2 linked regions of the Sus scrofa genome follow. The protein of the gene in region 2 interacts with the protein of the main gene of each other region in a biochemical or structural test. Links are inferred from orthologs where the notes say so. Each region holds a gene or a part of one and is shown on either strand. Other genes may lie near its edges.

The links.
Region 1: the proteins of DCAF11 (region 2) and SLBP form a complex in vitro, tested with the Homo sapiens proteins (2 studies listed by BioGRID, with this or other methods). The link is inferred for Sus scrofa from reciprocal best matches to the Homo sapiens genes DCAF11 and SLBP.

Annotation. Positions count from the first base shown.
Region 1 is NC_010450.4:802,290-805,458, forward strand, and holds the end of SLBP (histone RNA hairpin-binding protein), read right to left. Parts: intron 1,565-3,169; coding exon 1,448-1,564; 3' UTR 651-1,447; downstream 1-650. UniProt on the Homo sapiens protein: RNA-binding protein involved in the histone pre-mRNA processing.
Region 2 is NC_010449.5:75,174,440-75,178,250, forward strand, and holds part of DCAF11 (DDB1- and CUL4-associated factor 11), read right to left. Parts: coding exon 3,791-3,811; intron 3,558-3,790; coding exon 3,493-3,557; intron 2,975-3,492; coding exon 2,874-2,974; intron 2,644-2,873; coding exon 2,497-2,643; intron 2,286-2,496; coding exon 2,231-2,285; intron 1,787-2,230; coding exon 1,718-1,786; intron 1,106-1,717; coding exon 1,048-1,105; intron 952-1,047; coding exon 766-951; intron 320-765; coding exon 166-319; intron 1-165. UniProt on the Homo sapiens protein: May function as a substrate receptor for CUL4-DDB1 E3 ubiquitin-protein ligase complex.

The sequences.
Region 1 (3,169 bases), on a different chromosome or scaffold from region 2:
GATCCCTGGCCTTGCTCAGTGGGTTCAGGATCCAGTGTTGCTGTGAGCTGTGGTGTAGGTCGCAGACGCGGCTCAGATCCCAAGTTGCTGTGGCTGTGGTGCAGGCCGGCAGCTACAGCTCCAACTCGACCCCTAGCCTGGGAACCTCCATATGCCCCGGGTGTGGCCCTTAAAAGACAAAAGCCAGTAGCTTCGGATGTGAAGCAAAAGCCAGCAGCCAGGGTGACTCTTCTCAAGCGGAGTCAGCTATCTTGGCTGTGGGCTGGCGGCAGTGCCCACCAGCGGAGCTGCTCCAGGGCAGAGGCGTGGCCCTGGTGTCTCAGTAACACAGAAAGGCCATCACCCCAGCTGCTGAGGAAGCATCAAACCAGCGTCCCTGGCTTGCTTGCTCGCTCGCTTGCTCGTTCGTCTGCTGGGCCCACACCTCCCTCAGCCGGGAGGCCCGAGTCTGGGGGAAGCACAGGGAGCCGGGGGAAGCACAGCAGGTCTGGCTCTGGCTCTGGCCCTGGTCTGACCAAGACCCCAGGGCAGAGCTCCAACCCCACCGCCCGAGGTCCTCGGCCCGGGCCACGCCCCCGCCACCACGCCCGCCCTCCCTGAGCCTCCAAACGCGCTCATCCCAGCAGTCAGCCCGTCTGGCGACGCACCAAGTCAGTTAAAGGTCCCTTTTATTTTCGCAATGTCATTCCATACAAAAGCAACAGAAACATAACAGTCTTAACAAGAAGTTTACAATTGAGTATCAGAACAGAAAATCTGTACACATTATCATTTACAGCAATTTTACATGTAAATTAACTGATTGTAAAAAAAAAAAGTTCTTTCTAAGCCCCTCTGCTGCCTGACCTCTTGGAGTATTACAGGTAGAAGGCCTACCCAGCACTATTTACAAGTAGCAGATGAAGACTGTAAAACTTACATAAAACCCATTAACGTACCAGCTCAAGCTCATACCTGACTATTCGGTGCTGTGTGAGGAAAAAACCAGCCCTGACATACTGACAAACAGCCAGAAATGAATCTGATTATGATCCTCAGACACCCGAAAGGAAAGCTGAAGCTAGATCGGTCCCGAGAACACATGTTAAACCCAAACCAGCCCTCTGACGAAGAGCAACTTAATACCCGAAACACTTGCGGAAAACCAGGTGAGGGATGCCTGTGGGTTCAGCTGAAGGATGGAGGAGACTGAGCCATTACGGCTGTCACAAGACGGCCTCAAGTTTAATGTTCCTTGAATTCAGTTCCATCTTCAATTTAAAACATGCAAAATACACTCCCTATACGTAAAATTAATTTTCTCAAGAAAATAAGGCAAGAACAGCAATCCACGTGAGACAATACTATTAACAGGAAACAACGGGTTCCAGATGCAGGGCGCCTCGCCGGCCTCCTCCTGGGCAGGGAGCGGGGCAGCCCGGCTCCCAGGGGCTTCCGGGGGCACCGGTTAGCTCATGGCCGAGAAGTCTTTCAGGGGCTCCGTTAAACACGCTTCCAAGTCGAACTCATCCTCCAGCGGGCAGTCCACGTGTCTGACCTTGGTGGGTGTGCCACAGTACACGTCCTAGAAGGGAGCAGAGGCACACTCGTCCTCAGGCCCTGGGCTCGCTGCTGCTGGGCTGTCAAGCACGGGCGGCTCACCCACGCGGGAGCGGGTGCCCCGGGCCAACGGCGCCACCAGCCAAGGCCAGTGCAGGCTGGACGCTCGCCTCCGAGCCCAGATGGAGCCACTAATTCCAACCCACAGATAACATCCGACTCAACGGCCAGGGGACGCGTGCCACTCCCGCCCGCCAACTCCACCCAACTGGAAACCAACGGACCCTTTAAGGCTTCGTACGGCAGCCACTCAACTCCGCCGGCAGCTGGCCCACGTGCCCTCGGAGGCAGAACCACATCAAACCCGCCCAGGCAGGCCAGCCTCAGCTCTAGCACTGGGCTGAGGACGGCCCCTTCCATCCCAGCCCCAGACGGGGGCCGCTTCCACACCCCCAACCGTGGCCTTCTGGCCCAGAGGGTCCCCCCCGAATCTAATCCCTGAGGAAACAGGGTGGCAACGTCCAGGTGAGGAACACGCGGCCTCATAAGAACTGGCTTGAGCTCTTCGAGAGCCAGCGTTGCGAGGGGAAAGCAGGAAGGCAACTCTAAGTTAAAGGACATTTAAGAGACACGGCAACAAGGAGTTCCCGTCGTGACGCAGTGGTTAACGAATCCGACTAGGAACCATGAGGTTGCGGGTTCGGTCCCTGCCCTTGCTAAGTAGGTTGACGATCCGGCGTTGCCGTGAGCTGTGGTGTGGGGTCGCAGACGTGGCTCTGCCGTAGGCCAGCGGCTACAGCTCCGATTGGACCCCTGGCCTGGGAACCTCCATATGCTGTAGGAGCGGCCCAAGAAATAGCAAAAAAGGACAAAAAAAAAAAAAAAAAAAAAGAGAGAGACACGGCAATGAAACGTAATCCCTGACTAAATTCTGGGTCAAAAAAAGAGAAAAAGTCCTGTGGAAAGGACATTATTGGGACAAGTAAGAACCCCGAGCACAGCCTGTTTGTCAGGCAGCAGCACTGACCGGCGTAACACTTCTCGAGCGCAAGCATCGGCGTGTGGCTGTGCCAGGGTCTGGTGAAGCCCAACAGGCAGCCGGCTTTCCAGCGCTAAGGGACTCCTGGGGACAGTTACATGGGCACGGGCGGAACTCGGTGACTCGCCGCCTTAGCCCAGCTTCCCCCCTGCCTCCAGCACACCCCCTGCCTGAGGGCCGCCCTCCCGGAGGCCCCCGGACCCCGGCCTGGCTCTGTCTCCCTCCAGCTCCTCCTACCACCAGTGCCAGGTTCAGAATCTTGAGCTGGGGAAGGACTTTTCGGTTGTTCTTTTTAGGGCCGCACCCATGACACATGGATGTTCCCAGGCTGAATCGGAGCTGCCGCCGCCGGCCTACACCACGGCCACGGCCACATGGGATCTCAGCCGCGTCTGCGACCTACACCACAGTTCACAGCAACACCGATCCTTAACCCACTGAGCGAGGCCAGGGATCAAACCCGCATCCTCATGGCTACTCGTCAGGTTCATTACCCCGAGCCACAACGGGAGCTCTGGAAGGGGCACTTTTAGCCCAGACTACGGAGACCACCTTCTGAGACCTCCATGGGTTTCCTTCTAGTGCCACCTA
Region 2 (3,811 bases):
GCAAAGGTGAATCAGGAAGGGCCTCTAGGACTCTCGCTCCAGGCTACAGCCCTCCTCCTACACCCACCTACCGTGCTCTGGCCAGGCCTTACCAGGGGTCAAATATTTTAACTACCACCCCCAATTGTTCACTCTTCAGATCTTGGGTTCTACTTCCACTCTCACCTTTTTTGGGCACTTGTTGCCAGCGGTAGTCCCAGTCTTGCTGTGTGGCAGCCTGGCGTGAGGCTTCCATACCTTCCCGGCTAGAAAAGCGGCGGATATCCCAGAGCTTGATGGTCTGGTCTTTGGAGTTGGAGATGAGATATCGGGCGTCACCCTGTGAATCCCAAGATGGATGATGAAGTGTCAGAACTTGCAAATGTCAGTGGCTGTCAGGCTGGCTCCTCCTCCCCCGTGAAGGAGTAAGAGCGCTGGTCTTTTCACTTTGGTCGCCTCTTTTCTTCATCCAGGCAGACCGAGCCACAGACCCCACCCACTGGTTAGGTTTCCCCTTCTTTGCCCAGGGCGCTGGCTGGGCTCCTATTCTATCCTGGATCAGACTGTCTTCTACTTTCCTTGTATAGAAAGCTGCTCCTTGAGGAGTGGTGGTACTAACGGATCTCATGTCTCGTGGCTTAAGCCTCTTCCTTAACCTCCAGCTCTTGCAAACCTTGGCTAAGGAGGAGCTTGGTGAGTTCCCATGCCCGTCCACTCTGACGCCCTCCTGGACAACAGGAACCTCAGCAGCCTGGCTGTGCAGGCAGGTCCTGCCTCTGTGCCCACCTTGCTGTCAATGAAAGTGATGCCATCTTGGTGTCCAGCCAGCGCACCCACAGGCTTGGGGTCATCCTCCCGCATGGTGCGTCGATCCCACACTTTGCAGATGGCATCATCACCCCCGGAGAACAGGATCTGGGAGCTCATGTCAGCAAAGGCCACTGCATTCACATCATCCTCATGGGATTCAATCTAGGGGAAAAGGAGGCCAGGGTGCCTACGACCTCTTTCTAGGTCTTCCCATAGGCCAAGGACCAGGAGGCAGAGGCTCCGTCTTGGGAGCAATACCTGAAGGGTACGCCGATTCTGTTCTCGATCAAAGACATACAGGCAGCCATCGTTGGCCCTGAAAGGAAGGAGATAAAGAGGGTATGGAGCCAGGACCACAATGGAGCCAGACCAATGCTCCATGTGCTCTGGAGAGACTGTGTCTCAAAGTCCTATGGAGGAGCAAGTGCTTGTCTCTTTTTTTTTTTTTTTTGTCTTTTTAGGGCCATACCCTCGGCATATGGAAGTTCTCAGGGCAGATGACCAATTGGAGCTGTAGCTGCCCACCTATGCCACAGCCACAGCCACAGGTTCTGGCGTCTGCGATCTACACCACAGCTCACGGCAACACCAGAACCTCAACCTACTAAGCGAGGCCAGGGATCAAACTGCGTCCTCATGGATACTAATCAGGTTCACTACCACTGAGCCACGATGGGAGAAGAGTTATGCAGGAGATGGGAGAAGAGTTAGCTGTGTTTACAAGGAGGTATGAGCTCTCCCATCTCATGCTGGGGAAACGGTGAGCGAGGGGTGAAGTAACTCAGAAACCTTGACCCTGGGGAAGGCCTGGTTGTTCTCCACAGCTGCCTGGGTACAGGGGTCCAGTGCCATCTCTGTAATGGCAGAGATGGCTTCTGGAAGAACTCCTGTCTCATTAAGCAAGGGACACATCCCCACACACACTCACCCTCCAAGCACTTCTCGTCCATCTGAAGACACGGCGATGGAGAAGACGGCAAAGCGACGCTCAACAGGCCTGAAAAGAGCAAAGGAGTGGCTGCGTGAAGTCCCTCCACCCCAGCTCATCTACAGAGAATCTGACGAGGGCCGTGAGGCACACCGCTGTGGGGGAAAGGACCCCTGCCAGCATGTGCTAGAATGGGCAGCACCTCAGTGAGACACTGGGAAGAAGCCTACAGCCGCCCACTGCACCCTGGTCCTCTGCATGACAGGCTAGATGCTTCCCTCCTGGGAATCCACACAGAGAAACTTGCAACCAGTGTACTTTTCCCTCTAAGCAGGAGTTCCAGTTAAAGACGTTTGCTCCTAGAGAGCCTTCCTTGAGAGATGTTTTGTTTTTCGGGTTTTTGGCTTTTCAGGGCCGCACCTGCAGCATATAGGAGCTCCCAGGCTAGGGGTTGAATTGGAGCTACACCTTGAGAGGTTTCTGATGAGTCTGACCAGGAAGGGAAGCCAGTACCTTAGATCCAGGGCTGTGTGTGTGTCTCCCTCCCCGTAGATGTTGCAGATATGAACTAAGAGAAGCAAGAGAAACAAGACTCTTTCAGGGCTGGGGTACGGAGGGTGGAAGTGAGGCTGGGAGGTGATGGAACAAAGGGCAAGGATGTCCACCCTGGGGGGCGATCTGCCCAGGAGAAGGCGCAGAGTCCTGGCTCCCAGGAGATGGGCCTTTGGAGAGCTCAGGTCCCAGGCTGGAGCCACCGTGGTGGTCTGGGGCCTACTCACTGTAATCAGACCAGCTGGAGTAAAGGAAATGATTCCCATCAGGGGTGAAGGCCACATCCAAGACGCTCCAGCCGACATCCCGGGCCTTGATGCTCTTGAACTTATGAAAGCGGCCATACCGGCAGTCATACATTCGGATTACCTGGTCTGTGTAAGTGGGGATCAGGCAGAATTAGGGGACACTCTCCCAGAATCCTCCCTAGATCAGACCTCTCTCACTCAGTGCAGCTGTGGAATCTGCCCTTGATCATGGGCAATGTGTTCTGGCCAGGCATCCCTAAGCCAGGATCTGAGCCCCTGGGGCCTGGGGCTTTCTAGCCCTAGGCAGGGGGACCACCTCTTGTTCTAGGGCAGTTTGTAGGACTAGGGTCTGATACCTTGGCAGGCAGACATGAAGATCTGACCATCTTTGCTGTAGATGCCACAGAAAGCCTTCTGGGAGTAGGTATCAATGAAGCCCAGATCATTGGGCAAGAAGCTGGGGAACAGAGGAAATGAGTGTAAGGGGAGCTCAGCACAGGCAGTGTCCCGGTTAGTAGAATCCTAACAGAGCTGGATGTGTGTACAGAGGATATTTCCTTTTAGCTTGGGTACAAGCCTCTTTCTTTTCTTTTGCTTTTTGGCTGCCCCATGGCATATGGAGTTCCTGGGCCAGGGATCAGATCCAAGATGTAGCTGCAACCTAAGCTGAAGCTGCGGCAATGCTGGATCCTTAACCCACTGTGCCCGGATGGCTGGCGATCAATCCTGTGCCCCAGCGCCCCCAAGACGCCAATGATCCCTTTGTGCCATGGTGGGAACTCCACAGTCTCTTTCTTTCATTCATCTATCATCCCCTCAATTGCTATACTTTGCCATTTTGTTTATTCTCAAAGCCTCAACCCCATGTAACCTTACCTGAATATCCCTAAGGATCCTTTAACATTGGTCTCTTCAAAGTTTAGGAGATAAGACCTATCTGGCCCTTGGGATCTCTTCACCAAGCCCCATACTCACTGAGACATCACTCGAGACTGTTCTCCAAGGGAGAAGCTTCCCCGGTGGCAGAGGCCCCGTTCTCTCTAAAGGAAGGGATTGGGGAATATTGCTAGCAGAAACAGAGGGCCACTTCAGGCACACCAAGCCCCCTCCTCCAAAGATACTGTTCTTGCTACAGACAAAATACCCATACCCAGTAGTTCATCCCACCAAAGCCCAATGCAGGTTGGCTAAGAGTGTTCCAGTTCCAGCCCTTGTAGCTTCTGGCTACATTGATAGGGCTGCTGTCAGGCGGGCTAGAAGTGCAGAGGCCTACCTGGAGCAGCATTTGAGGAAA